4 linked regions of the Pelodiscus sinensis genome follow. The main gene of each other region encodes a partner of the protein of the gene in region 4 in a complex. Links are inferred from orthologs where the notes say so. Each region holds a gene or a part of one and is shown on either strand. Other genes may lie near its edges. The genes, in order: B9D2, CC2D2A, MKS1 and TMEM237.

Region 1 (7,594 bases), on a different chromosome or scaffold from region 4:
GGGCTCTCCAGAAGCTCTCCGGGCTCGCTCCTACGCGCCTGGGCCGGGGGGGGGGGGGGGGGGCCTTGTGTCGCTGCTGTGTGCCCCCCCCCTTCCCGCTGGCACCGGCTCGCTGCGCTGGGGGGACGGGACGCGCGGGGCCGGGGGAGCGGAGCGGTGTTGGGAGGGGGAAATCCGGGGGGGCGCGGGAGCGAGCGGCGCTGGGGGGGGAGCGAAGGGGGTGCGTGGGGCGGGGGGGGGGAGCGGAGCGGCGCTGGTGGAGGGATCCGGGGGGGGCGGGGAGCGGAGCGGCGCTGGGGGGGGAGCGGAGCGGCGCTGGGGGAGGGGAGCGAGGGGGGTGCGTGGGGGGGGGAGCGGAGCGGCGCTGGGGGAGGATGCGTGGGGCCGGGGGGCGGAGCGGCGCAGGGAGGGGTGCGCGGGGCGGGGGAGCGGAGCGGCGCTGGGGGAGGGATCGGGGGGGGGCGGGGAGCGGAGCGGCGCTGGGGGGGGATCCGGGGGGGGGGCGGGGAGCGGAGCGGCGCTGGGGGAGGGATCGGGGGGGGCGGGGAGCGGAGCGGCGCTGGGGGAGGATGCGTGGGGCCGGGGGGCGGAGCGGCGCAGGGAGGGGTGCGCGGGGCGGGGGAGCGGAGCGGCGCTGGGGGAGGGATCGGGGGGGCGGGGAGCGGAGCGGCGCTGGGGGGGATCCGGGGGGGGGGGCGGGGAGCGGAGCGGCGCTGGGGGGGGATCCGGGGGGGGCGGGGAGCGGAGCGGCGCTGGGGGCTGGAGCCAAGCGCCCGGGTGAATCACTAATCGGCGGCCCGCGAGCGAGGGGGAGGCGGGGGAGGGAACAGGCAGGTGGTGGGGGGCTGCGGGCGGGAGCGGGGGGGGGGCAGGGCTGGGGGAGGCTTCCACGGGTCTGTCGTGGCAGGGAGAGGCTGCAGCACGTGCACTGTGTCCTTGTGCCCCAAGGCCCCACCAGGCGGGGGGGGGGGGGGGGGGGGGGTTGCTGAGTGGGGCAGGTGAGGGGGAGGTCACCGGGCTGTGTGGGGGGGGTCACTGCATGAGGGGCACCGTGTGGGGCGGTTGCTATATGGGTGGGGGGCACCATGGGGGGCGGGGCCTCTGCCCTGTGGGGCCTGAAGGAGCTACCAGGAGCTTCTGCTTCCTTCCCTGTTTTGGCAGCATCTGGACCCCTCCCCCCCCCCCCCCTGTGCCAGGCGCTGCCGGTTCCTGCCCTTTGCTGGGGACGTGGGGCCTAGGGCTGAGTTGCCCAGAGGGCTTGGGGGTCACAGAGGGGTCACAGCCCTGCAGGCCCCAATGGAGCTCAGTTCCCCCCCATTCTGCATCTATCTCCCCCCTCCGTTCCCACCCTCCTCCCCATCTGCTGAGGCTGCTCTCAAACGCTGCGGGGGGGGAAGCTTGGCAGCAAGGCCTAGTGCGCAGAGCCCTAGACTGGGCCTCAGGAGACCCAGCGTCCCAATCCTGGCCTGTCACTGTCGTGCTCCGTGCCTCAGTTTCCCCAGCTGCAAGGGAGGACTAGCGACCCCCGCCCCTGAGAGAGGTGCCAGCGTGTGGCTGAGGGAGGGGGCTGGGGGCTGGGGGGCCAGCCACAGGGGGATCCATTAGTCAGCGCAAGGTGCGGGGGTCGGACGTCAATGTCATGGCTGCTGCATAATCAGCCCCCATCCCACCAAGCAGGAGTGCGGCTGTTAAAGGCCCCAGCCCCCCCCTCCACCCCCCAGCTGCCGCCTCTTGCATGTGGAGGTGGGAGCAGCCACCGGGGACCCAGGAGTCCTGTAGCCAAACGCACCCGCTGCTGTTCATGGATTTCCTTCTAGCCCCACGGGGACATTGGCCCCCAGCCCTGCCGGTGCCCCTCTCTCCTGCCCCCCAGCCCCTGCCCCCCCAGCCCTGCCGGTGCCCCTCGCTCCGACCCACAGCCACTGCCCCCCCAGCCCTGCCGGTGCCCCTCGCTCCGACCCGCAGCCACTGCCCCCCCAGCCCTGCCGGTGCCCCTCTCTCCTGCCCCCCAGCCCCTGCCCCCCCAGCCCTGCCGGTGCCCCTCGCTCCGACCCGCAGCCACTGCCCCCCCAGCCCTGCCGGTGCCCCTCTCTCCTGCCCCCCAGCCCCTGCCCCCCCAGCCCTGCCGGTGCCCCTCTCTCCTGCCCCCCAGCCCCTGCCCCCCCAGCCCTGCCGGTGCCCCTCGCTCCGACCCACAGCCCCTGCCCCCCCAGCCCTGCCGGTGCCCCTCGCTCCGACCCACAGCCCCTGCCCCCCCAGCCCTGCCGGTGCCCCTCGCTCCGACCCGCAGCCACTGCCCCCCCAGCCCTGCCGGTGCCCCTCGCTCCGACCCACAGCCCCTGCCCCCCGAGCCCTGCCGGTGCCCCTCTCTCCTGCCCCCCAGCCCCTGCCCCCCCAGCCCTGCCGGTGCCCCTCGCTCCGACCCGCAGCCCCTACCCCCCCAGCTCTGTTGGATCCCATGTCTCTCTCTGGGGAACAGCCCAACTCAAGCTCCCTGCCCCAAGGGTTTTGCGATGGAGCCGACCAGACCGGGCATCTCTGGATCCAGACAGTAACAAGCCACCAGGACACAGGCCTGGTCTGGGTGTGAACCAGCCTGGTTTTGTCCCCCCCCCCCACCTTGGCCCTCACGCCGGGTGGGGCTAGCCAGGCACAAAGCTGGGCTAGTGGGGATCCAGCCAGAGTTGGACCAGGCTCAGGCTCAGCCTGCTGGTGCCCCCCCGCCTGGGCCCTGTGCTGGGAAGCAGACGGGGCGTGGTGCATTAGGCGCCTGTGCTCTCAGCTTCTCGCCAGCATTTTAGAACCCTGCTCGGAGCCCGTGGGGGGCTGGAAACAGCAGGTTTCCAAGGGACGCTAGAGCAAAGGGCCCATGATGCCAGGAGAGAGCAACATGGTGCCTGCTATCTGGCAGGAAGGGCCCGTGGTTATAGCTGAAGGGGGAGAGGATGGTGCTAGGACTCCTGGGTTCTCTCCCCAGCTCCGCCACTGATGTCCACCACGATTATGGGCATGCGCTCTCTGTGCCTCAGTTTCCCCCTCCACTGCATTGTGAAGCACTTTCAGTTCTGCCTGATCCCGCCCTCTTTGCAGCAGTAGCCAGTCGCCAGTCGGGTGGCAAGTGTGAAAACGCAGGGTGGCCACAGGCAGACAAAGCCCCAAATATCTGGACTGTCCCTATAAAATGGGGACACCTGGTCACCCTAATGGCCACCCAGCTAGGGCCCAGGGGGCTCTTTCCGTAACGGGTGCTCTCGGGCAGGGTGGGCCTGTGGGACTCACTGCCACAAGATGTCACCATGGCCGAGCACAGTGCAGGACCCACCGAGCTTGGCTCTTGGGTTAGATCAGGGCTGAGTGAACGAAGTCAGAGGTGCCCCTTGGGTGTGCTGCAGGGGTCTCTGCTTGGCGGTGGCTCGTCCCTGCTGAGTGTCCAAGGCCCAGCAGTGCGCAGGGCGTGGCCCGGGGGTGGAGGGTGAAGTGCCTGGAGCAGGGGGTCAGATTTTGTGTCTGGCTGTGGGCGGGGGCGGGGGATGGCTGGTCCATGCAGGCTGGCAGATCCAGGGCGGGGTGGCTGCCTACGTTTGCTGAGGGTCTGTCTCCCTCTGGACAACGCGCTGGGCACTGGGGGCCGGGAAGGCCAGCGGCCCAGCGGCTGGTGCCTGGCGCTCGGTCTGCTGGGCTCCAGCTCGACCATCAGATACGGGCTGGGACGGGCGGGGCTGGGGCCTGGACTCAGGCAGGCCCTGAGCTCAGCCCTGGTGCTCCCACAGTGCCCCCCCCCCGCGTTCCCATGGTGCCCCACAATCTCCTCCCCCGTTGCTATGGTGTTCCCATGATGCCCCTCCCCCGTTGCTATGGTGTTCCCATGATGCCCCTCCCCCGTTGCCATGATGCCCCTCCCTCGTTGCCATGGTGTTCCCAGATTCCCCTCCCCCGTTGCTATGGTGTTCCCATGATGCCCCTCCCCTGTTGCCATGATGCCCCTCCCCCGTTGCCATGGTGTTCCCAGATTCCCCTCCCCCGTTGCCATGGTGTTCCCAGATTCCCCTCCCCCGTTGCCATGGTGTTCCCATGATGCCCCTCCCCCGTTGCCATGGTGTTCCCAGATTCCCCTCCCCCGTTGCCATGGTGTTCCCATGATGCCCCTCCCCCGTTGCCATGGTGTTCCCATGATGCCCCTCCCCTGTTGCCACGGTGCTCTCACGAAGCGCAGCCCCCACGCTGCCAAGCTCGCTGCCCTTCCCAAAGATGGCTGCCTCCAGGGCTTTGCTCCGCCCAATAGCGGCGTCCCCGGCCCGTCATGACCCATCCAAGATGGCGCCGCCTTCACGACTCTCTTTGCCACAGTCAAGATGGCGGCGAACTCTTGTCGTCTTCCTGGGCGGGGCCTGCGCCAAGCGCCGTCACGTGCCCCTGCGCCAGCCAATCAGGATTCGGCGTTGGGGAGGAGCCCGCCGCCGTTGCCGTAGCAGCCGCGGGCTCGCGAGCGGCGCGCGGCGGAGCCGGGCCCGTGGCGCGAGCGGGTCTGTAGCTCTTCAGGGAGGGCGGGGCGGTGGGATGGTGGCCGCGCAGTGCGCATGCGTTTGGTGTCGCTCCTGCCTGCCCTTCCCGGCCCCCGCCGTTACACGGTGTGAGCTGAGCACGCGCCCGGCGCCTTGTCCCCGCCCCGAGACACACGTGGGGGGGGCCGGGCCCTGGGGCGGGGCAATGGGGGCGGGGCCCGGGGTGGAGAATGGGCGGGGCCAGTGGGGGCAGGGCCCGGGGTGAAGGAGGGGCGGGGCCAGTGGGGGCGGGGCCCGGGGTGACGGAGGGGCGTGGCCAGTGGGGGCGGGGCCCGATGTGAAGGAGGGGCGTGGCCAATGGGGGCGTGGCCCGGGGTGAAGGAGGGGCGTGGCCAGTGGGGCGGGGCCCGATGTGAAGGAGGGGCGTGGCCAGTGGGGGCGGGGCCCGGGGTGAAGGAGGGGCGGGGCCAGTGGGGGCGGGGTCCGGGGTGAAGGAGGGGCGGGGGTCAGTGGGGGCGGGGCCCGGGGTGGAGAATGGGCGGGGCCAGTGGGGGCGGGGCCCGGGGTGAAGGAGGGGCGGGGGTCAGTGGGGGCGGGGCCCGGGGTGGAGAATGGGCGGGGCCAGTGGGGGCGGGGCCCGGGGTGAAGGAGGGGCGTGGCCAGTGGGGGCGGGGCCCGGGGTGAAGGAGGGGCGGGGCCAGTGGGGGCGGGGCCCGATGTGAAGGAGGGGCGTGGCCAGTGGGGGCGGGGCCCGATGTGAAGGAGGGGCGTGGCCAGTGGGGGCGGGGCCCGAGGGTGCTGATGTCTCAGCAGTGGGGGGGGTCTCTTGCCTTTCAGGGGTGCTGCTCCCAGAGGGGGGTTGCCCTGGGGCGGGGGTCTCCCCACAAGGGTGCAGCCCCCACTGGGCGGGGAGGGGCTGGTCTGCAGCGCCCGCCCCCCCAGCACCGTGCCGGGCATGGAGCCGGGTATCCAGGCGGGTCCCGCGGCCCCCCCAGAGCAGGCGGCCGGACCTTCAGCTGCCCAGGGCTCTGCCCCGCTGCAGCAGCCCAGCGGCGGGTCCCTGGCGGGTTGGCCCCCAGCAATTTCAGCCCTTGTGGGGCAGGTGCCCCAAGGACCCGCCGCAAGGAGGGCAGCTCGGTGCCGCTTCCTTGGGAAGGAGCTAGAGCTGGGGCTGAGCGTCAGGATGCCTGGGGTCTTTCTGGCGGTGGGAGGGCAGTGGGGGCTAGTGGTTAGGGAGCGAGCAGGGGCTGGGAGCCAGGACTCCTGGGTTCTATTTCTAACCCCCCTCTTGGGTCGCCCGCGGCAGGACCATGGCCGAAGTGCACATCATCGGGCAGCTCGTGGGCGCCAGCGGCTTCCCCCGCTCCAGCCTCTTCTGCAAGTGGGGAATCCACACAGGTCAGCCAGAGCCACGGGCACCCGCGAGGCTGGGGGGTGGCATCTGCGGTGAACGGGCTGGAGAGGCCCAGAGCCAGAGCCAGCGGGTTGGAGAACTGGGGGCCCAGTCTTGTGGGTTCTATCCCAGGCCTAGCGGTTAGAGCCAGGGCTGGGAGCCCCTCGCTGACCATGCTCCCCCCCCCCAGGCGGCGCCTGGAAGCTGCTCTCCGGCCTGCGGGAGGGGCAGACACAGGTGGATCACCCCCAGCTGGACGACGTGGCCTATTGGTCCCACCCCATCGACGTGCACTTCGCCACCAAGGGCTTGCAGGGTAAGCGGGGGCCGCCGGCCCCAGGGCCAACCCCCTCTGTCCGGGGTGCCTGGATCTCCGAACCGGCCTGGGGGCAGGGCCAGTGGTACGGGCAGGTGGCTGCCAGGGGGCCCATCTCTCCCCCCACGTTCTGGGTGGCCCCCGGAGGCTGGGCAGGGCAGGGCAGGGCAGACTTCCCCCTGGACACAGGTTTCAGCCCTGGTCTTGTGTCCCTGTCCCCACGGGACAGACAGCCCAGGAGATGGGGAAAGGCGCTGGCTGGTGGTGTTCTTTGTACGCTGGGCGCCTGTGCCACTGCTCAGGAGAGAGTCCGGCGCTGCCCAGCCGGCGAGGAGAGCGCCCACCGCTAGGTTTTGTTTCTCTTGGTGGTGCACATCCACACGTGCCCCCGTGTACAGCATAAAATTATTCCGCGCGTGGGTGGCAAAGCCCTGCAGTGGCTGGAGGAGCTGAGAGGGAACCTTGCAGGCCCAGCGCAAAGCGAGTTCCTCTCAGTGAAAGGCATTTTGCCTCCTGTCCAGAACCCCCAGAGGCGGTTTGTTGCCCAGTGATCTGGGGTTTTCTGCCCTCCTTTCAGCCCCCAAGGCAGGTCCTGGAGGGGGACAGATGCAGCCCCACGTCCCCCTGTCCCGGCTGCAGGAGAAAGGCTGGTGGCTCCTATGGGACGGGGCATGGAGCATGCGGCCCATCCCCTCTCGGGGTGCTGGCCCAGGCAGTGCCAGGGTTGGGGGCTCTGACGGGTCCCCTCTCTCCACCAGGCTGGCCCAAGCTGCACGTGCAGGTCTGGCACCAGGACGCCTTCGGGCGCAGCGAGCTGTACGGCTACGGCTTCTGCCACGTGCCCTGCAGCCCGGGCTGGCACGCGCTGGCCTGCGCCACCTGGCAGCCCCTGGGCTCCTGGCAGGAGCGGCTCTCCCAGCTCTTCGTGGGCGGGGGGCCCCAGCTGCTGAACAGCGACCTGATCTACACGGGGGCCGACCGGTACCGCCTGCAGACCGTCGCCGCCGGCACCGTGCACCTACAGCTGGGCGTGCTGCTGCGCAACTTCGCCCGCTACGGGGTGGAGTGCTAGCAGGGGGCTTGCTGTGGGGCGGGGCGCTGGGGGGGGCAGGTGGGGAGGGGGTCCTGCTGGGGTGCTGGGGGGCAGGTGGGCCCCTGCTGGGGGGCAGAGGAATGGAGGGGCCCCTGCCGTGGGGCGGGGCGCTGGGGGGCAGGTGGGTCACTGCAGGCCGTATGAAACCCCACCGTGGGCTGGAGTATGAGGGGTCTGCCCAGATCCAGTGCCTGATGCTGGAGGAGCCCCAGGATCCAGGGGGGTGGCCCCCTGGGGCCCCGCAGCTTTGTGGCCCCCACACACTTGGACAGTTCAGACATTTCGCCCCC
Region 2 (7,401 bases), on a different chromosome or scaffold from region 4:
GCTAGGACTATAATAGAGTTTAAAGAGAAGCTGGATAAATTCATGGAGGTTAGGTCCATAAAAGGCTATTAGCCAGGGGATAAAATGGTGTCCTTGGCCTCTGGTTGTCAGAGGCTGGAGAGGGATGGCAGGAGACAAATCGCTTGATCATTGTCTTCGGTCCACCCTCTCTGGGGCACCAGGTGCTGGCCAGTCGGTAGACAGGATACTGGGCTAGATGGACCTTTGGTCTGACCCAGTACGTCCGTTCTTATGTTCTTATGATATGACACATTGACCCTGGACAGACAGTCGCTATGAGGCAGTGGTCACCAACCAGTAGATAGGGATATACTGGTAGATCTTGTATCCTCTGTCAGGTGATCATGACTGGTGTGGGCAAGAGGATATCAAGTGCCAGCACTTAAATGCCCCTCCCCCCACTGCTGTGGATGTCCTGCACTTTGCCTTGCAGCTGATACCACGCCTGGGAGTCTGCTGCTTTGTGTGCACGGCAGGGGAGGAAAAAGAGGGGTGCTGATGTCAGGGTTCAACATATACCATTCTGTATCCTTTCAACACAGGACCAGGGATGGAGTTTTCTTGCTGCTTTAGGTAGTGTTACAGGGCAAGGCCATGGGTGAGCTTGCCTTAGGCACACTCCACCACCATCTAGGAGTCACCAGCAGTGACAAAATGGAGCATACATCACTAACTCCTACCCCTGGCATGAACCCAGTCCTGTATCCAAGCCCTTATCATTGCTCTGAGCACCCATGCATCCAAATACCCTGCCAAAGCCTGCACCTAGAACTCCACAGTAAATGCATGCTCCAAGAGCTGATCAGAGCCCTTCTCACACTCCAGATCCCTTAAGCAAAGACCAGAGCATGTGCACCCAACCGTCTGTCCCAGGCTGATGAAAGAGACTGAGGATGGGCAAGAGAGGGAGGATAGAGGGAGCAGGATCTGGGACTTGGAGAAGGGGTAAGAAGGAAGCGGGAAAAGGGTATTTATATATAAGGTACATATTGGATTGCACTTTCAAAATGTTGGAGCCCCCTGCTCTGAGTTCTCTGACCCATGTCCCCATTGACTACGGGAGGAATCACTAAAATTTCACTTGGCCATGTTGGCGAGGAGTCCTGTGGCACCTTATAGACGAACTGAAGATAGTGCCACAGGACTCCTCAACGATTCTTCATATTCAGACTAACACAGCTACCCCTCCGATACTTGCCCATGTTTGGTGATGAGGATCTGGGACGGAGTTTGGGTGCATGAGGGGTGCTTGCTAGGGGGAGTTTGGGGGACAGGTGTGGGATCTGCCATGGGTCAGGGGATTGCAGTACAGGTGAGGGTGTGGATGGGAGGGACTTTAGCATATCAGCATAGTACACAAGAGAAAGGAGATGCAGTGACTTCTGATAGAGAAACAAAGAGAAAACTATTAAATACTAAAAAAGTGAGAGGCAGAGTTTGAGACAGGAACTGTATGTAGAATATTTCACACTTGTACATATACAGAGGAACGGTGGTGTCTAAGCATTGACCGTCTAGGAATTGGGAGGCCTGTGCCTTTAAGAACTCAAGCCCAGGAGCCCGCCCCCTGCTCGGGGGCTGACAGGCAGCGTCCAGGGAAAATAAAGAAAAAAAAAGACTTTGCCCCTGGAAAACTGATATTTTCAAGGACATCAGGTGGCTTGTCCTGCTGGATGACTGTTCCCACCTCTCCCCCTCCCTAAACGGGGGTTTTCTCCGTGCACAGGGTCTGGCAGTGTCCCCCAGCCCGGGGTTAACCAAGGCTACCACCCCCCACCCCCCTGATTTTTCAAATTTTGCCCCTCTTCTGCAGCTAAAAAAAGAAGATTGATGCCTCCAGCCGGTAAATTTCTGCCCCATGCTCAGAACCAGACACTACCCCCCCTGCAATTTGCCCCCCTTCATCATTTTAAACACCTCCGAAGAGGAGGAAGCAAATCTGAGGAGGCAGTGAGGGCAGAGAGTGGGCAGCGGCTACAGCGAGGGACACTGAGTTTGCTCAGTTCGGGTGCGCATGCTCAGTGCACCCAAAGTAGCAAATTCTGAGAAGTTAGTGTTTTGCTCGCTACACCGGCGCCGCCCCAGTCCCGGAGCTGCCCCAGCAGGCTCCTCCCCCACCCCAAGAAAAGTGGGAGCTGGAGGCGCGGCCACAGCGGCGTCGGAAGCTCGTAGGCAAGGGGTGGAGGCTGCGGCCCGGGAATCCCCCCCGATCACTCAGACACTTACTGCGCGGTGTCCGGGCGCTGGCAGCAGGCGCCGCCATCCCGGCCGGGTCCTCCTCCTCCTCCTCCGCCAGCGAAACAGCGGGACCAACGGCCTCCAGCAGCTGGGGGGGGAGGAGGGGAAAGGAACCGCACGTCAGGGGGCGCTGCACAGCGCGAAGGGCCCCTCCCCGTCACCCGGATGTGCTCCGCGCCCGCCCTGGTCACCGCTCTGCGAGTCCACCGTCCCGCTCCCGCCAGGCAAAGCTCTCTGCGCGGTGCCTAGCAACCCGCCGCCCGCGCTCGCGCGCATGCGCGGCAGGTCTGCTGGCCCTCCGGAGAGGAAGCTGCCGCGGCAACCGACTGCGCGAACGTGAAAGGGTCGCCCCGCCCCCGAACTCACGGGCTGCTTTCTTCCCCGCCTCTGAGCCGTCAGCGTCTGCCTCAGCTGCGCCCCGTGGGCCGGCGCCTCCCGCCCGCCGCGGGAGGGAAAGGCACAGGGGTTAGCCCGCCGTGGGGCTCGGCGGGTGCCGCCAGTGGAGCCCCGCCCTCGTGTTGGGCATCGTCCCACGCAGGGGCGCTAAGCGCGGTGGGAGCTGGGCCCCAGCTCTGCCGGGCGTCGTCTAGTTAACGCGGCTGCTTATCGGCCGGGCCTCGGCTAACTTGCGCTCGGCACTGGGCTCGCGCCTGCAGCTTATCTGCGGGGCCGGCTACCCTCGTGCCGACTCCATGGCATGGAAACCTGCAAACTTCACAGCTCCTCGGGGGCTGCGACATAGAACCGTTAGCTCCGAGTAAAACAACCCTTCGTCACTTCAAGAACAGTTTCACAGTTTTTGAAAACTTGGTGTCGTAACTAACTCACATGATCACAAAGATTGTGCATTTATTTCATATTGCCTATAATTAAAGTGGACTTGTATATAACGTGCATATGGCCATTCCAGTTGCCTTCCATTTAACCTGTCTATGGTACTTGTCTGTCCTTAGATTTTGAACTCAGAGGCAGGACTGTCCTTTTTTGAGTATTTGGAAAATGCCCCCTACACAGCAAGCACTACAATAATTACTAATGTAATATAAAAAGCATCTTATGCTCAATGATTTAGGAATAACATTAAAAACTAGTGTTTGTTAAATATAGTGCATTGTATTATGTTTGATTGATTTGCACAGAAATACATTTTTTCTTAATAGCCACATATAATCCCTATCAATTATAATGAGTCACTTGCATTTACCCAAAGGACAATTAACTCCTATATTACGAAATCTGTATATTACTATTTAGTAACTAGCAAAAGTGTGATATGAACAAAACCCTATCATACTTTTTAGAAAGAAAGAAATGCCCCATAATCCATCTATGCATTTACTGTAACTAATCAGACTAACCTCCATAGCCATAATCTGGGATTCTTCATTGAAATTCATGTTTGCAGCAATTGATACCTGCCTGTAATACAAAAATTATTAAAATCAGATGTACACATTAATGCACAAGCACTCATCATGCAACAGACTTCACAAAGGAATACCTCTGCATCCAGTGGACCCTATTAACTTAGAAGTAACGTTAAAAATATTTAACACTTGAAAAAAACAGTTTTATGGTTTTGAAAACGGAATAATTTCCTGCTATTTGTAGCCAGGACATATGATCTTCAGAATATATCTACAAGGTTTTTTTTATAATTCCCTATAAAAGTGAATCAAGTCGACAAATATAAATTGTGTATGAGTTACCCATTATTGTAAAGCATCTACAAACTGTCCATGATTGGTCCATATACAGTTTATTGCAAGAATGGTGTTCCTTCTCACTTTTAGCTGGTTCATTCTTGCCAAATCTGAAATTTACAGATGTTCCTAAAGCTTTGTCTGCATGATGAAGTTAGTGATTTAATTCAAACTGTTCAGAAAATGATTCAGCCTATATAGGTACACCCTCCATGATTTGTAACTGCTACCTTGATTTAAGAGCTCTGATATCTATTTAGTTTATGTCAGTAAGGAATCAATTTCAAATAAATCTGTTTAAGGCACTCTTAAATCCAAATGAGAGCTCAGGTTACACGGTTGCAAGCTGTATGTACCCTGTTGGATCTCTGCATAAACCTCAACTCCAGATAAGGGATAAATTCCCTCCCTAGTACCTCAGGCTGTGTCCAGACTCAGGGGTTTTTTCGAAAAAAGTAGCCTTTTTTCGAAAAAACCTCACCTGCGTCCAGACTCAAGCCGCGTTCTTTCGAAATTAAATCGAAAGAACGCGGCTTTTCTTTCAATGGCAGTAAACCTCATTTCACGAGGAAGAACGCCTTCTTTCGAAAGTTCCTCTTTCGAAAGAAGGCGTTCTTCAATGTAAATAGGGCTTCTTCGAAAGAGAGCATCCAGACTCACTGGATGCTTTCTTTCCAAAAAGCAAGCCGCTTTTTCGAAAGTTCAACGTGCAGTCTAGACGCTCTCTTTCGAAAGAGGCTCTTTCGAAAGTATCTTTCGAAAGAGCCTCTTTCGAAAGAGGCTTGCAGTCTAGACATAGCCTCAGAGCCACTCACATCTTCTTACTATATATTTTAGAAATGTGTGTCTGTCTGTTGAAGAGCTCCTCCTAATGTTAACAGATAGGGCCACCAAATTTGATATGCAGCTTCTTATCATAACTTAAAGCAAGGTCAGGGTTTGGTTGTGCCAAGACAATGGGATGTGCCTGGAATTCAATTGTTTCTCACAAAATGGAAATGGAGAAGTCTGGTAGGAGGGAGTTATACTGCAGAATGAACATAAGGGGACAGGAGATGGGGTCGAAGATGGGGACTGTACAACTATAACCCCAATGGGCCAGCAGGGGCAGGAGTAGAGAAAGGGACAACTATCTACTATCTATTTCAGAGAGATTATATGAATTGTATGCTCCTGTATCTATCTGTGACTGGGGAATGTTGGACAGGTGCTTCTCAGTTGGCTCCAAGCTGCTGTGGTGAGAGAGGGCAGAGGTTGCCCTCTTTCCCCAGGGCACCCTGCATACTGAACCCTTCATCCCCAGCTCCACCCCAGCACAATGATTTAAATGAAGAAAAACAAAACTTATTTGAGTTAAGGACATGAGCAATACCAGGTAAATCTTGGAGTCAAATAATATTTTAAATCTACTAACATTAATCTGAAAAGTTATTTCATTTTAATATGTAGCACATATGTTATTATATAAGCACTTTACAGAATCAAATTCAAATAATTCTGTGTGTGTCGGTGAAAGTGACTGGGGAATATCTTATATAAAATGGTCCTTACAATAAGTGTTCAAATAGCTCTTGAAATTAGTGCCATAGCCTATAAAAATTATAATGCATAATTAAATGCTTTTGTCTATGAAAGAATGCAAGAGATTTGAAGTTGTTCAGTAAAATAGAGTTCGTCTATCTCTGGACAATCTAAAGCTGAAAACAGGGATACAGTCGAGTATCACTAATTGCACTTTTAAAATAAAATTACCTCAAGAATCCTTTATAAAAGTCACTCTGAGGATTTCTGTTTCTAAAAATTCTTTCTTTCATGAAAAATGAAGAAAGGGGGGATTTTTAAAAAGATCCAAAAGGTTAGCAATTGACTCATACCTGGCTTTCTTAGGCGGTACTTCAGAAGTTGCAATCAACAGTCTGGCATAACAAAAATGCCCATCTTAGCAACAAGGTTGCTAAGGAAGGTCACTACTATTTGTTTTTAAAGGGGTAGAGTCAGAAAATCTGCTAAATCAATTCAGGAAATCCTCAGATTTTTAAAAAAATCTTAAATACAGTCAGAAGGAAAAGAATGTGGTAATACATAGGAAATGCTTATGCCCCCAATCCTGCAAGCATTTACACACATGAATAATCATATTCACTATCCGGCTACGTCTAGACTGGCATGATTTTCCGGAAATGCTTTTAACGGAAAAGTTTTCCGTTAAAAGCATTTTCGGAACAGAGCATCTAGATTGGCACAAACGCTTTTCCGCAAAAGCACTTTTTGCGGAAAAGCGTCCATGCCAATCTAGACGCACTTTTCCACAAAAAAGCCCCGATCGCCATTTTCGCGATCAGGGCTTTTTTGCGGAAAACAAATCTGAGCTGTCTACACTGGCCCTTTTGCCCAAAACTTTTGCGCAAAAGGACTTTTGCCCGAACGGGAGCAGCATAGTATTTCTGCAAGAACGCTAAGAATCTTACATGAGATCGTCAGTGCTTTTGCGGAAATTCAAGCGACCAGTGTAGACAGCTGGCAAGTTTTTCCAGAAAAGTGGCTGATTTTCCGGAAAAACTGGCCAGTCTAGACACAACCTCCATGTTTACATCCTTGCAGAATTAAAGCTAAATTGTAGACAAAAGGATGATTAGTGACACCCCACTGTAAATCAGTATTTGTGGCTCTTGTCGTCTCTCTAGTTCTTAGATGCGGTGGGGAGGGGCGAGGGAAGGGGGAAGAGATTGTATGCTTCAGTGTTCCCTGTAAGCTGAATGCTTGTGCGACCGCCCAGGAGAGGTTCAAATGCCACACAGCTGATTAGCAGAGGTTCTACAGCTTCCTACAGCCATCACTAGATGTTTCTATTCGTGGTACACATCTGAAATGCCTCAGAGCACATAACAAAATTTATTCCGTACATGGATGGAAAAACTTAGAGGGAACATTGATATGCTCCTACTTTTTCCTCAGAATTTTCTTTAACTGGAATTGCAATTATTATTTTCAAAGGGCAGAGATGCAAAAAGTTTGAGCATGTATATTCACTACCATCCTCCAGGTCAAGCCCTTCTGTTTTTTGTTTTCAAAGATGCAGTTTTCTATTGTATGTCTGGGCTGGGGCAAAGATATAAAACTGAAGAATTAAAAGTGAGTTATCTATCATGCTGCAGTTCCCGCAGCAGTTTCTGCAGGCTGCCCTCCTGGCCCTGCAGGAATGCAACCCCCAGATTATTGTGGAGACCCTTACCATCTGTCCGGTGTTGCGAGAACCACAGGTCCGATGATGCATACCAAAGGGGGAAAACACAGAACCAGGTGGACAGTTTTAGCAAATAAAAGATATTTATTTATGACAGTGATGAATTTATAGTATTTATTCTAAGATTTGTAATTGACCGTGTCAGTAATGAATTTACAGTATTTATTATATTTATTCTACGATTTCTGGTTAAAC
Region 3 (7,556 bases), on a different chromosome or scaffold from region 4:
TTAGCCTCCATCAGGGTGCACCTCGCAGCAATATCGGCATTTACATCACCTGTAGATGGCGTTTCTATCTTCGCCCATCCTACGACTAAACGATTTCTCAAGGGCCTTATCAATATGGACCCACCACGCAACCCAGTCCCTCCTGTGTGGAGCCTGGATGTGGTACTCGACGCCCTAATGAGGCCACCGTTTGAGCCTCTGGCGACCGTATCCTTACGATTCCTCACCCTGAAAACGGTTTTCCTGCTCGCAATAACCTCTGCACGCAGGGTTAGCGAGCTTTCCGCCATGATGGCCATTCCACCATATACGATTTTCCGTAGCGATGGGGTAGTCCTACGATTACATCCGAGGTTCCTACCCAAAATTGTCTCCAATTTCCACGTTAACGAACCAGTCATCTTGCCAACCTTTTTCCCGAAGCCCCATGCCTCGCCACGGGACGTGGCCCTACATTCCTTGGACATCCGCAGGGCCTTAGCGTTCTACATAGATCGTACTAAACCGTTCAGGCTTACGGACCATTTATTCGTCTCCCTGACACACAGGTCAAAGGGTCAACGCCTATCTTCCCAGAGAATCTCCAATCTCATAACGGCATGCATAGTGCAATCGTACGCAGCAAGAGGGTTGCCCCTTCCGTCCCAACCACACGCTCATTCCACTAGAGCCATGGCCATATCTACAGCGTTCCACAGAGGAGTATCTCTGAAGGACATTTGCAGAACGGCGACCTGGTCCTCTCATGGGACCTTCGCTAAGCATTATTCTATCTCTCTCTCTCATTCGGATGGGGCAGTGGTGACTGCGGTGCTCTCCACGGCGGATAAATAGGGTCTCCTTGCCCTCCTTCCGCTTTCGGCGACTACCGCTATGCAGTCACCCATAGTGGAGCACCCGCGGGGACATCCCCGAAGAAGAAAGCGAAGTTACTCACCTCCGGTGCAGTAACTGTCGTTCTTCGAGGTGGTGTCCCCGCGGGTGCTCCACTACCCATCCTCCTCCCCGCTTTGGATTCCCCTCTATCTCTGCTCTTGTCTCTTACAGACTCCGAGGCGGTTCCGAGGAACTGGCGGGCGGCCGGACCGCGCGACGGAAAGAGCGCGAAAGCCGCGAGCCTGCGGCACATGCGTGGTCCGGCCGGATACTGCTACTGACAAGTCTCCGTCTGCGGCGCCGGGGCAAGCCCAGCACCCATAGTGGAGCACCCGCGGGGACACCACCTCGAAGAACGACAGTTACTGCACTGGAGGTGAGTAACTTCGCTTATCCTCTGGGCCAGTGTTGTGGCGTGGGTATCCAGATGATTGACCTGTTGGCGATCAGGGACAACAGGAAATGTCACAAGTACCCCAAAACCTTATCTTTCCAGGGTTTGGTATAAAGCTTCCCCCCAAAATCTTAAACTTAGATTTTGGGGATAAAAATCCGCTGCCACCACCCAAGTAATGATAAACTCAGGGAAGAGATCACTTGAGAAATCTCAGCCCTAAAGTAAAACAAGGACATGCAAAAATTAACCAATACCAGGTTAATAAAAGTTCTTTCTCTCTTTTTTGTTTTAATCACCACAGTACTCCTGTTACAAGCATAATGACTAAATGGAAAAGTCACCAATTTATATACTGATGGGGGGACCCCTCATGGGCCAAGAGCTTAGTTGCAAAGGAGAGGAAAACTCATTTTTAAACGCACAGACATCAGATTCCCATTCCCAAATCATAAAACAATAAAACCTAATGGATTTATCTAAACTTTACCCTACTTACAGATGGTGAAGAGTCTTTTCTTGGAGAGACAGACATGTCTTTCTCCCTCAACATCTGGAGAGAAAAACTGCGCAGAAACAAAGGAGGGAAAAACCCAAAAATTCCTTTGTCCCATTTTGAAATCCCTATCTGCATTTGTATTGGCTGACTATACCTGGCTTAGGTACAGTTAACCTCTTACTCCCCAGGCTGCTGGCTAACCCTCATGGTCATGACATACCTCTTCTGTTCTTTCATTGCAGCTGCCAAGCAGTTTTCTTCTTCGCCCTTCTGCCGGTCACCCACAAGCAGAAGGTGGGTAGGGCCAAGTGCAGGCTCATAGTTCTGGTTCTTCAACTGTTTATTCAGCCTCATGTCCTGTTCCCTCCACCCTGACCAACTTGTTCAGAACCACACACACTTGCTGCATCCCAGGTGCAGCTCCCTGCTGCTACTGGTGTGGCTGCTGCACAGCTGAATGAGGCAGCACACCAGCGAGCCCTCTGCCAGGATCCAATTGGCATCTAAATGGATGTATTGACTTGTGCAATTCATCCTGCTGGCTTCTGTCCAGGACATTCTGGCATACCTGCATAGGCTGGTTTGGGGTAACCACTACAGGGCCTGCACTTTGGGGGGGGGCCCTCAAGGTGGCCTGGGAGATTAGTAAGGGGGGGTAGAGCCTGAGGCAAATTGGGCAGGGGGTTGTCCTGGGCCCGGCACTCCCCTAGGGATGGATCTTCAGCTCTTGGGACTTGTGCTTAGTTCATTGAAATTTCTTCTGGCAGCAATATCAGCATTCCATCTCTCCAATTGGGGAAGATGAGTTTTCTCCAATGCCATAATAGCAAGGTCCCTGAAAGGGTTTCTTCCTCTACATCCTCCAGTCCAAGAGCTAATTTCTCTGTGGGACCTTAACATCAAACCTAGCGCCTTTGATGGAACCTGTTTGATTCCCTGGCATCTTCTCTGTTTCCATTTTTTTATCAGAACCCTGTGTTCCTGGTAGTGAAAACATCCACAAGGAATGGGCGAGAGCTGCCGGCTCAGATAGCAGCACCTCCTTATAGCTAATTCTCCAATGTGATGCTGACCACACCCAAAAATTGTGTTTAACCATAGCTAGCTCAAGTGAAACAAAAAAACACATTTTACTTATCTGCATACTTACCTAAGCTGCCTTCATCGCTGGAGGAGCAGTGTCTCCATATGCTACAGGTCTGGCCTTCTATTGGGCAGGACTCAATTTTGCCTCACCTGATGTGACCTGGCAAGGGAAGAGGGTTCCCTGCTAAGGGGCAATCACAGTTCACCTGGTGGTTTGCCTCACCTGATTGTATGAAGGGGCAAGTAGTCTCTTCATTCTCTCCAAATGGAGAAATCTGTATCAAACCCACCTGTGAAATAGCTTTGGCTACATCCCATCTCTGAGTGTGAGCTCAATCTACAAAAGCAGAAGGCATGTCCATAGCATTCTTCAGGACTGCCATGTGATCATCCATATGCACATTTACTCCATCTTCCAGGGCACGGTTGTAAGCTTTGGTAGGTTGGTCCTGTAGTCCTTTTGTAGGTGGACTCTAAGCTCCACCTCCTCATGGGAGATACTGTGAGGGAGTCACTTAAGTAGAATTATGGCACAAAACTGAGAACTGGTTACAGTAATTCCTCATTTAACATGATAGATGCATTTCTGAAAATGTTTGTGCTAAGCGAAAACGAGCTATGTGGGGTCAATTTTCCCATTAAAAATAATGGAAAAGGTGGGGGTTGCATTTCAGATGGCAATGGCAAAGTCAGTTTTTTGTTGGTGTTAGATCTCTAGCAACACAAGTCACTGCAGTTTGTTAAAACACAAAGATAATCACGAGTGAAGGGAGGAGCACTGTGACCATGTGTACTCATCTGCTCATGCATATTACCACTGTTTTCACAAACTTATACCGCCACATAAAGTAGTCTGCCACTTGATTATTTTTGTGTTATTTTGGGAATGGTTGTGTTATTCGAAAAACATTCCCTAAAAAAAAAATCATGCTATTGCAAAAACGTATTAAGCGGCACATGTTAAATGAGTAATTACTGTAACTGTGGTTCTGGGAGACATCATGCAGATGTGTGTTCCAGCGACCCACCCTCCATTTCCTTTGCATCAGTTTGTTCTTCAGTGCAAAAGAACTGAGAGGGTTGGGACAGTACCACTTCATATAGCCATGGTCCAGGCTATAGCCACAAGATGCAAATTCTCCTGCTCTTGAGCAGATGACATCTGAGCGCTTGTGTCCGTTTGGTTCTCTAGCCAGGACTGTCTCATACAAAGCTTTGCTAGTGAACAACCACCACATAGTCACGCCCAGCTGTATTGGTGAATATTATGCCCAGCCACGCAAAAATCGATGCTGGGTACATGTTCTAGGTCCAGCCTTGCACCCCGGTCCATCCCGTCACTGAACAGAGCAAACGCACAAACGCATTTCTTTGGAAAGGAAATAACCAAGCCAAAGCATTTGTGAGCGCATGGGGATGTCCCACGGCGCTGGTTCGGACACGAGTCTCAGGAGAGAACCTGCAGCTCTCGGGAGTCCGCAGAGCTGGAAAGCCAGGCCGGCCCCCTCCCCGCCCCGCCCCCCAAGGGGGGTCCTTGTCTTTTGACCTAGTGTGCGTCTACTGTGGGGCAAGCGACGTGCCTGTTCCCTGGCTGCCGGGCAAGCCCCCGTCGCAGGCTCTGCGCAGAGCCCGCACCCCTCCCCCCCCGACCCAGCACACCCCCCCGGCCCCCGCAGAGCCCGCACCCCCCCCCGGCCAGGGGAGACGGGCCGCGCATGCTCAGCAGAGGCCCCGCCCATCTCCATGGGGCGCGGACGCGCTTTCGGGCCGGGCCATGGCGGAGCCGTGCTGGAGCGCGGAGGCGGGGGGGGCGGTGTATCGCTCCCGGGACCCCGTGCGGGGCCTGCGCGTCCGGTCAGGGCCCGCGGGGTGTTCCGGGGGGGCGGGGTGTCGTGGGGGGGGCAGGGAGTGTGGGGTGTCGGGGGGTGTGGTGTCGGGGGGGGCGGGGAGTGTGGGGTGTCGGGGGAGGGGTGTGGGGTGTCGTGGGGGGGCAGGGAGTGTGGGGTGTCGGGGGGTGGGGTGTCGGGGGGGGGGCGGGGAGTGTGGGGTGTCGGGGAGTGTGGGGTGTCCCATGGAGGGTACCTGGGCCCCTTTGGGGCGTTGTTGTGGCACAGCAGGCTGGGGTGCCTGGGGAGGGCCCAGGCAAGCGGCCCCTGGCGCCTTCCTCCCTCCCCTGCCCTGGGCAGCCTGCTGACTCCAGCCTGGTGCTCCTCCCTGCCCAGGGTGCATGTCCAGCATGTCACTTCCACCAGCCTGCTCCTGCAGCAGCTCCAGCAGCCCTCTAGCCAGCAGCAGGGGAAGGATCTCATCAGCCTGGCCACCTTCAGCTCCCATCCAGCAACAAGTAGGTGGTTCATGGCTGGTGTCGGATGGGGACCCATCTCTCCTGTGCAAGGCCTCACAATGGCTTCTGCCACTTGGCCGAAGCCCCACTGCACAGGTCGCAGGCAGGGAGAGATGCCGGACTTGCAGCAATCTCAGTGGAGGGGAGATGGCATTTTTACACCTTTCAACCCCACAGAGTACAGGACAGCCTCAGCTTCTCTGGGCTACCTCATATGAAGACCTGTCCTACCTGTGGATGGAACAGGTGCCCCGTTTCTCCCCCTGGATATTCTGATAGTGGTAGGAAGTGCCTCCTTTTCCCAGCCAGGGAGCAACTGGTGAGACAGGGATTTAATACCTGTGGTAGGATAAGGTGTCAGAGTGGGTGCATCTTTGCTAGGGAAAAGGTGTGCCTTGACCTCGTTAGCAACTACAAGGTCAAATCCTAGTGAGGACAAGCCACTTGGTAGTTTTTACATGTTAGCACCTCAGAGTAAAGTCTTGCAAAATACTTGGCTCAATTTGCTAATACATGTGCTGACCGCAGACTTTGGGATTTGATCTTTTTAGTTATCAACTGTTAGTTAATTTGCAATGAGAACACATCTTTTTCTTAGTGAAGAAGCACCTTCCAATTCTTGTTTCTTTTTCTTGGTGCATCATGTTGAAGAAGGAAATTCCACCCTCTTTGACCTTAGGCATTTGTATTGCCAATTGAGCATTATACCTAGTTGCAAAACAGGCTTCCAGGGCTATTCCACTCACAGGGCTCATTGTCTTTTCTCTTGCTGAAAAGTGAGACTGGCTGTGAGCAGAAGAACATAAAAATAGTAACATTGCATCATATCAATGATCCATTTATCCCCATATCTTGTCTTCTAACAGCAGCTGGTACCAGGGGCCCCAGAAGGAATGAACTGAAGAGGCAATCATTAAGTGATTCTTCCCGTCACTTATTCCCAGCTTTTGGGAATCAGAAGCTAGTGATATCCAGAGCATAAGGGTGCATTCCTGATCATCTTGGTTTATAGCCATAGATAACGTTAGCCCCCATGAACTAACAGTGGATATTTCCAGAAAGCCTTTGACAATTTCCCTCACCAAAGGCTCTTAAGTAAAGTAAGTTGTCATGGGATAAGAGGAAAGGTCCTTTCATGGATTGATAACTGGATAAAAGACAGGAACCAAAGGGTAGGAATAAATGATAAGTTTTCAGAGTGGAGAGAGGTAACTAGTGGGGTCCCTCAAGGGTCTATCCTGGAACCAATCCTGTTCAACGTGGAGGGAAGAAGCACATGTGTGAAGAAGTGACCAGCCCCCTATTGTCTTTCAGGTGGCTATCGTGCCGACGATGAGGAAGAGGAGGCCGTGATTGGCTGGCAAGATAAACTCTTCAGCCAGGTGAATAAGCAGAAGGCTGGAAGTGACCCCTCAAGTGGCAGATAGTACTCAGAATAGTATAGTGGATAGTGTGTGTCCAGTGCAAGGGGACTTGGCTTCATCTCCAGGTCCCAGAGCAGAATGGAGGGCCTGTTCCTCTGGCTCACAGTTAGAGATATACGTGCTGCTGCAGTTCAATATGGTTTATATTCTCTAGCCTCTCATGGCCACTGCAGCCTCTAAACTCCACTAGGAGAAAATGGAACATGTTTCTGATTTAGAATTATCCCAACTGCTTGCCTGTGCCATCTTGTCCATGTCTGTAGGGGATGAGTGGAGGGTACTCATTAAACAAGAATGATTAAAGGTCTAGGGTACATGAGCTGTAAAGGAAGACTGAAAGAATTGGGCTTGTTTAGTTTGGAAAAGAAAAGATTAAGAGGGGACATGATAGTGGTTTTCAGGTATCTAAAAGGGTGTCAGAAGGAGGAGGGAGAAAACTTGTTCTTCCTGGTCTCTGAGGATAGAACAAGAGGCAGTGAGCTTAAACTGCAGCAAGGGAGGTTTAGGTTGGACATTAGGAAAAAGTTACTGTCAGGGCGGTTAAACACGAATAAATTACATAGGGAGGTTGTGGAATCTCCATCTCTGGGGATATTTAAGAGTAGGTTAGAAAATGTCTACTAGGGATGGTCTAGTCAGTACTGGGTCCTGCCATGAGGGCAGGGGACTGAACTTGATGACCTCTCAAGGTCCCTTCCAGTCCTAGTATTCTATGATTCTATGAAAAGCAGTGGAAGTGACTCTCAATCACAAGAGAGAAACAGCATTCTGGTTACTAACGGTCCAGGATCCAGCTCCAGGAACTGCAGTCTGGTCCCACAGTTACAACCACATCAATTTTAAATCCTAATCCCACAAACAGTTATGCATGTGCGTAGCTTTACACACTTAAAATAGTGGTTATTTCCACTCCAGCTTCCCCTCATCTGAAGA
Region 4 (7,256 bases):
TCTCGCCCCAGAGGACGGGGGCGGCGGACCGTGGCGCATCTGGGCGTCCCGCCGCTCCCGTCCTCCGGGGCGAGAAAAGCCCCGTTCGTAACTGCGGATCCGACATAAGTCGGATCCGCGTAACTCGGGGACTCCCTGTATAGAGAGAATTTAACCAGTTAACCATTGGAAGGCTGGTACAGAGCAGCTGGGGTCTCTATGGGGCATGGATCTCACCTGCTAGGTGTGATAGGGGCTGCTCCAGGCAGGGACTGCCTGCAGCTGCTCCAGCCTAGCTGTCCTGCCGTGGGCAGAGTCCTGCCCTGGCCTGCCATGCCCACTGCTCCACAAGCTGCGATCTGATTCAGCCTAGCCCACCACGACCGGGGTCCTTCTGTGTTGCAGGGAGGAGGCTGCTCTGGCTGGGTCTGGCCTGCCACCAGAGTTTGGGCAGGGTCCATTTACCGGTTACCCATTAAGTATGCCAGTAAGTCTCTCTCTTACCAGGTAACTGGTTAACCTTTTACATCCCTATTCCATGTGCTAAGTGCCAGGCTGATTTTTAAAAGTCTCAGCCCTAAAGCACTTGCTAATTAAAATATAGATCAGAGACAGCATTCCCAGCAATAAAGAATGAGGTGAGGGCCAGGAAAGGAGAACAAGGGGTTGAGAATAGAATAGCTACTGAGACTGAAGTAGTCTTAAAAGGTTTGATGCATTTTCCCCTTTCGAATGACAGAAGAAACAATATGAATTAAACTGCTTCCCAGTCTACTGACAACAAGAAATGTCTTTTGTACTATATGACTGGAAAATAAGCATCCCATACTTCAAGAGCTCTGGAAAGTCAAAGGACGAAGTTATTCATAGCCAAATAAATCTTTTTAGAAAATTAGTTATAAAATTTAGCCTTGCAGCACAGAAAAACATTAGTATGTTGCAAATTTTTGTGGTGAAATACAAAACTGAAATAAAGCTAGGTTTATAATGAAAGTGCTGACAGACTTACCCATAGCTTCACAAATGCAAGTTTCATTTTATTTTAAACTTTGTTTACCCAGAATTCAAAGAAGTTTTTTTTGTTGGTTTAAGACACTTAGTAAAATCTCACTAAAATCTATGAGAACTCTGAGATTTCTGCTGAGCTAATTTTTCTTACTTTCACAACTTTTAAGTACATTCAAGTGCACAAAAATGACCATATTTCACAGAATCAAATAATCTTACCTTGGAACTGGGGGAAGGGCACGGGGTGGGCGCTAAAATTTAAAAAAGAAATCTTCCATTAGTATGTTATAAAACCACCTCCCTTCTAAGCCCCTGCTAAGCCATTTCAAAGAAGCCAGCTAGTTCCAAGCATGACTGATACATCCAACATATATTAATCTTCCGAAAGGCAATTCTGAACATTACATACATAAATGTACACAAGTGCATTGAGATTCTTGGATGGAAGGTGCTATGAGGATATGCACATTTGATGTCAATGTCTAAATTCAGATATGTGCTGTATTTTAGAGAGACACTATGGACACTTTAAAAGCATATGTAGCTATTCTCTAAATATTTTTGTTTCTCTTATAATAAATTACACAAAGAGGAAAGTTAATTCATCAGTCCAGTCAGTTATTGAAAATATTATCTTAAAAGAGACTATCAAAAATTAAGTATTTAATATCAACATACTTGCATATTATATAGTATGAAGACATGTATGTACTTATTAGTGAAATTAATTAGAGACAATTAGAGAAAAATACTCAAAGTTTAAACAATAATTGAAAAAGAAGTCTAACATGATAAAAATGTGTATTAAAACACAACTTTTTCAAATTATTTTGATCTTGAGGTCAAATCAAAATTTAAACTTCAAAATAATAAAACCTTTTATTAACAGGCTAGATGAAGCATAGCTGACACTTTTCTTGCCTAGAAAAAACGAGGTAGCTTAGATTCAGATTTTGTATTAAATAAGTGAATTGGACAATGGAAAAAATCCCCATGCTCCCAAGACTTTATTTCAATTTAAAAAATGCACAGATAATGTAATTCAAGGCTCCTTAGAACTGAACTCACCACCTGTTTCTTCCCCATACCATTCAAAGCCAGTCTTTGAGAGAGACACTGAATAGCATCCTAAATCCAACTGTGACAGCTCTGGCCTCAGCTAATTCTGCACTAAACATAAGCTGCTGATAGACTGGATTAGTTGGACATGAACATTGCTATCTCTGATACCACTCTTATTTAAGTCTATGGGAGTTTTGCCACCAATTTTCCAAACGGAACAGCAATGGGTCCCTAATGCTTCTTGCAATTAGAAATCCAAGTTCTCATTATTCACAGGGGGGAGGAAAGGGGAGGGGAATTGGGTTAGAGCAGGGGGGAGATGCCTGGCTCTGGAGGAGGGAAGGGCAGGGAGGGGGATCAGGTTGGGGGGGGATGTGCATGGCGTCCCAGCACCTCAACTCTCCACCCAACCCCAATACTGTCCAGCCTGAAGCCCCCTCCCTGGGACAAAATACCAGCATCTATCTTCCCCCTGGCACAGCTGCCTTTTTTTGGGGGGGGGGGGGGGGGCTAAACAACTCCCCCCGCCCCAGTGGCTCTTTGCACTCTGTCCACCACTATTTTGGCTCTTCTTCTCTAACCGTTGGCCAGCCTGCTAAAAAATGTACTGGCAGGGAGGGGAGGGAAATGCGTGTAGTCTATAGCATTAACCTAGAAACTTTAGCTTATTGGTTAATTGATTAATCGGCTACACTATTACATCCCACCCGCCGACTTAACCCTGTAACTTGCATCCCCAGCGGCCATGGTGTCTAGCCCCAGTGAGGTGCAGAACTTTACTGAAAGGACTTAAAAAAAAAAGACTTTTCCAGATTGGTCTGTGCTTCGAACAGCCTCGAAACTGCAGCCTCCCGCCCCGCGCTGGCTCTGCCCCGCCCCGGCGGCAGGCTCCGGATTTGTTTAACGCCGTTGCTTAGCAGGGCTGAACAGGCACCTCGGGCCGGGGCCTCAGAGAGCCCCTGGGCATCACCCGCCGCCCGAGAGCCCTGGCGCTGGGTCGGGCACGGAGCTCGGGCGGGGCACGGACACAGGGGCTGGAAGGCTCCTCGCGAAACTCAACCCCCCCCCCCCCCCCGAGAAACCTCCCCCCCACGATCCCCCCTATCCCGCACACTCCCCCCCGGGCCCCCCCCACACACACCCGGTCCCCCCTATCCCGCACACTCCCCCCCGGGCCCCCCACACACACCCCCACCCTGCACACTCCCCCCCGTTCCCCCCATCCCGCACCCCCCACGGTCCCCCCCACACCGAGGCCCCGCCCGCCCCCGGCCCCCTCACCAGGCGGGCTCCCTGCGGCGGGGTCTCCATGTCGCTCCCGTCTGGTCTCCCAGGCCGAGGGGCGGGAAGGGGCGGGCGCTGCCGGGCAGGGTTTCCGGGCGGCGCGTCACGGCCCCCGCGCTTAGGTCCAGCCCGCGCAGCCGGGGGGGGGGCACCGGCGTGAGGCTCCGACCCCTCCCCCCCCCCCCGGCTGGGCGAGTCCCGGGGCGGCTGCCGGATCATCGCTCCTGCCCCTGTGCAGATTCGTACCGGTGCGGAGCGGCCCGCGGCCCCCTCCCGGCGCCCCCTCCCTCGCTCGATGTCCAAGGTACAGTCCAAAAAAAATTGGACTTACAGAGAAACAATTTAAAGCAGGGAATTCCCCCTCCTGGCTGACTTTCAGTGGCGCAAATTTGAGGGTTTTTTTTTTTTTTGCATGTTTTAAGAGCTGGGAACGGGAGGACTTCTAGTGCATCAGTTCCTACAAGTGTCCTCAGCTTTTTAGTGTGCAATGGATGCATACCAGGTGACTTACAGTGGGGATGCCCTGAACTTTGCATGGCTGCACTGGGAGCCTTTGCTCTATTACCACTCCTGTTAGCTCCTGTTCATGTGCAATCCCTCTGGTCAGTTCAAGGTTCCTCCACAATCCTGGGCAGGAACGATCAGCAGGAAAAAGACATGTTTGTACAGGCTGGTGCAGTTAGAGAACCATACTAGTATAGATATAAAATATTGAACCAGCAACAGAAATTCAGACCAACAAAAAACAATATAGATTTGCACAGTTCTATAACAATCTAAACAAAACTCCCAATATGTAACTAGGCTCTTTATTCAATGACTGAATGACACATACTCTCAAAGGACAACATGCAGGATTGACCAGGAAGGTCTGAAAGAATTCTTTGTGGCTTGTCAAATTCAACTATTTTCCAACTCTACCATTGCATTAAAATATGCTTTTAATATCAACACAAATTTTGGCTGATCCAGTTAGTAGATTAAGAATTGTGCACAGGGAAAAGATAAACCCAGAATCTTTTCTATTAGAATTAAGACACCCACACACACACACATAGCCTTAACATTTGGTATATGTATTTCCTGTAATGGTGAATGACTGGTGCAATACAGTAGAAAACTCAGGTGCATAAGGCAAGTAGCCACTTGAAGCTCTCTACTCTCGCTTTCTATAGCTTTGGAAGTAAAACTTCTAAAATAAATGCTTCAACCCTCTAAACTTTCTGTTCATTATCAGGAATAATACACATTTACTTCTAGTGGATAACAATGGATTACAAATAGTGTCAGCCAAGATACATCAAAGAGTCAGGAGTCAGAGTTATCAGCAGCTCTCCCTCCTTTAATGATGAATCCCATTTCTAAATCCTGGGCTAGAAGCAGAATGTTGCCATCAATCAATTGTGCACATCATCTGCCACTCCTGCTCATTGCTGTGTTTAGGAACCCTTGCAACCAAAGGACCTAGAATCCAAGGATGCAGTCTTAGACACATAAGTAATTTCACTGATTTGACTTCAGTTAGACTAATCATGTGGGTAAACATTTGCAGTACCAGGCCCTTAACCTGCTCTTGCGTCTAGATTGATATGCCCATTTTTGTCAATTGCTTCTGCTAACATGTTATGAACAAGATCATCATTACATTTAGTGATGAATTTTTACAAAGCTGATATCTGTCAGCATTTGATAGCTGTGAAAATTAATTTTATTATAAAGGTGAATGAATGTGAATTCTAGAGTCATTTGTGTTGCGAATTACATTAAACCTGTAACTAATTTAAAAATAAACATCAGCAAAGAAACGTGCTTGGGACAGAAGCATGCAGCAAAATAATATATTTATAAAGCGTTCTCCTTTGGTGCACGAAGTCAACCTACTAAGTGTATAACAGACTTGTTGGTTTTGCTTTGGCAATACACAAGCATCATAAAAATCAATACGCCTTTAACAAAAAGGAGGTATGGTAAGCACTTAGACACAGATATGATTAGACCACACAACTACATGCAAGAAAATAGATCTTTTATTTTTGTCATTCTGAGTTACTACAATAATTTTGGGGGTACAAAATTAATGTTAAGCAATCATGTTACACTAAGAACTACAATGAAGACAGCATGATTATCTTGTAATAGCTTTTTTCCTAATCCCCCTGCCAAATCTCTCCTACACAAAGCTATATTCTTAGAATCCTGACAGAATTGTTCTTGAGGTAAAAGATATAATCTTTGTGAAGCTGCCTGCTTCTCAGCATTATGGTTGAGTGTCTGAACATATCCATGTAGCAGGGACCCACTGGGGCTCATCTTGTGCCTGATGGACTGCAGACAGCAGCTGCAAACAGGCCTCTTGTAAATTGTCATTTATAATCACTTGATCAAAGAACTGGCCAAACTGAGCTTCTATTTTCTTAGCAGAATCCTCCATCTCCTGCAAGTCTTCCTCCTGCAAGAAACAATATAGACCTATGAAACTATCATTTCATGTGGGATGCTTTTGAATGGGAATAGGTTTATCTAAGTTTTCACTTTCTACTCTTCCAAAGAGAACTAGGGTTAGTGGCCAGAAGACAGAACTGGGAGCCAGGAAATTTGATTTTCTCTTCTCAGCTCTGCCCCTGACTCAGTACAGGACCTTGGCCAAAACACTTAGCCTGTCTGTCCTCATTCATAAAATGAGGCTACTGCTTACCTCACAGGGAGGCTGTTAATATTTATAAAACACTTTGAAATAAAGGGTGGCATAGAAATACAAAGTAATATTATTATAAATAAAGACCTATTCTGCCATGGTTCCGCCTGGAAGTGCTGCAGGCATCCCTTCAAAAACTTAGTTACTATGTATCAACTTAGAATCATAGAACCATAGAGCTGGAAGAGACCTCAGAAGTTCACCAAGTCCAGCCCCCTGCTCTAGGCAGGACCAATCCCAACTAAATCAACCCAGCCAGGGCTTTGTCAAGCTGAGACTTTGCATGTGTGCCCTATTATAAACCCCACACTTCTTGTAATAAGTTCCCCTGCAGGAGTGGCCCGTGGATCTAGGCAAACTAACCAGTTGCCTAGGGCGCTGCGGGCCTGGGCGCCCAATGATGTCGTCACGGGACTACAGGGTGCCATCATGGCTATTGACAACCGTGCAGGCGGGGGCGCCAATTGCACCTTCCGCCTAGGGCACCAGCTGCCACAGCCAGCCTCGGGCCGCTCCTGTTCCCCTTTATGATAATTTTATATTTGAGAGGGAATTCTTGTAGGTAATTTTCAGTGAGATGCCATTCTGCAAACCCTCTGCCAGCAGAAGCTCTCACTGAAGTTACTACAAATTCCACAGAGCTTCCAAGATCTGTTATTTTGTACGTCTTTTCAGAGTAGCTACTGGTTGGAAAATGGTAGCATTGGCCAGATCCTCAACTAGTGGAAATTGGCATAGCTCTAGAGACTTCAAAGGAGCTGTGTCAATTTACACCAGCTGAGGATTGTCCCTGTCTGTAAATACTAACACCAATACAAATTATTCTGACTGATAACCAACAACAACTCTAAGTTACGCATGTCATAACAATGATAATAAATTCTAAGCCTTTGAAATGCAACCAATGGCTTGTGTAGTTTACAATAAGTTTTCCTCTACTTCCATGTGCTGGATTGTGTTGTTGCCTAGATGCCGTGCAGGTGAAGTCATTTGTCATTGTACTAGCTAATGTTACAGGATCCAGATGTGATAGACCAGTGGTCTGATCAGTTTGCCACAGCTATATTCCTATTCTGTATTTCAGTTTATCAGCAATATTTCCACAAATTCCATGGTTTTTAAGCTACTTAATTACAATGCCCTCTCACAGCCAACATGACGGACAAGGGCGTGTAGGCAGTCCTCAGAACATTTTAAAAAAAATACAGTGCTGGACAATGAAGATCAA

The links.
Region 1: TMEM237 (region 4) and B9D2 share a complex: the UniProt entries of both Homo sapiens proteins name them as parts of the tectonic-like complex. The link is inferred for Pelodiscus sinensis from reciprocal best matches to the Homo sapiens genes TMEM237 and B9D2.
Region 2: TMEM237 (region 4) and CC2D2A share a complex: the UniProt entries of both Homo sapiens proteins name them as parts of the tectonic-like complex. The link is inferred for Pelodiscus sinensis from reciprocal best matches to the Homo sapiens genes TMEM237 and CC2D2A.
Region 3: TMEM237 (region 4) and MKS1 share a complex: the UniProt entries of both Homo sapiens proteins name them as parts of the tectonic-like complex. The link is inferred for Pelodiscus sinensis from reciprocal best matches to the Homo sapiens genes TMEM237 and MKS1.

What each region holds. Positions count from the first base shown.
Region 1 is NW_027465992.1:83,910-91,503, reverse strand, and holds the start of B9D2 (B9 domain-containing protein 2), read left to right. Parts: upstream 1-4,380; 5' UTR 4,381-4,523; intron 4,524-4,579; exon of another isoform or gene 4,580-4,630; intron 4,631-5,808; 5' UTR 5,809-5,812; coding exon 5,813-5,900; intron 5,901-6,085; coding exon 6,086-6,211; intron 6,212-6,969; coding exon 6,970-7,283; 3' UTR 7,284-7,594. UniProt on the Homo sapiens protein: Component of the tectonic-like complex, a complex localized at the transition zone of primary cilia and acting as a barrier that prevents diffusion of transmembrane proteins between the cilia and plasma membranes.
Region 2 is NC_134715.1:107,493,624-107,501,024, forward strand, and holds the start of CC2D2A (coiled-coil and C2 domain-containing protein 2A), read right to left. Parts: upstream 3,024-7,401; 5' UTR 2,626-3,023; intron 2,576-2,625; exon of another isoform or gene 2,348-2,575; 5' UTR 2,285-2,347; coding exon 2,248-2,284; intron 1-2,247. UniProt on the Homo sapiens protein: Component of the tectonic-like complex, a complex localized at the transition zone of primary cilia and acting as a barrier that prevents diffusion of transmembrane proteins between the cilia and plasma membranes.
Region 3 is NC_134731.1:16,308,074-16,315,629, reverse strand, and holds the start of MKS1 (tectonic-like complex member MKS1), read left to right. Parts: upstream 1-4,551; 5' UTR 4,552-4,570; coding exon of another isoform or gene 4,571-4,629; coding exon 4,630-4,709; intron 4,710-5,077; coding exon 5,078-5,199; intron 5,200-6,513; coding exon 6,514-6,581; intron 6,582-7,556. UniProt on the Homo sapiens protein: Component of the tectonic-like complex, a complex localized at the transition zone of primary cilia and acting as a barrier that prevents diffusion of transmembrane proteins between the cilia and plasma membranes.
Region 4 is NC_134717.1:56,805,779-56,813,034, reverse strand, and holds the start of TMEM237 (transmembrane protein 237), read right to left. Parts: upstream 3,361-7,256; coding exon 3,331-3,360; intron 1,239-3,330; coding exon 1,207-1,238; intron 1-1,206. Other genes in the region: MPP4 (MAGUK p55 subfamily member 4), read right to left, coding at 5,591-5,782. UniProt on the Homo sapiens protein: Component of the transition zone in primary cilia. Required for ciliogenesis.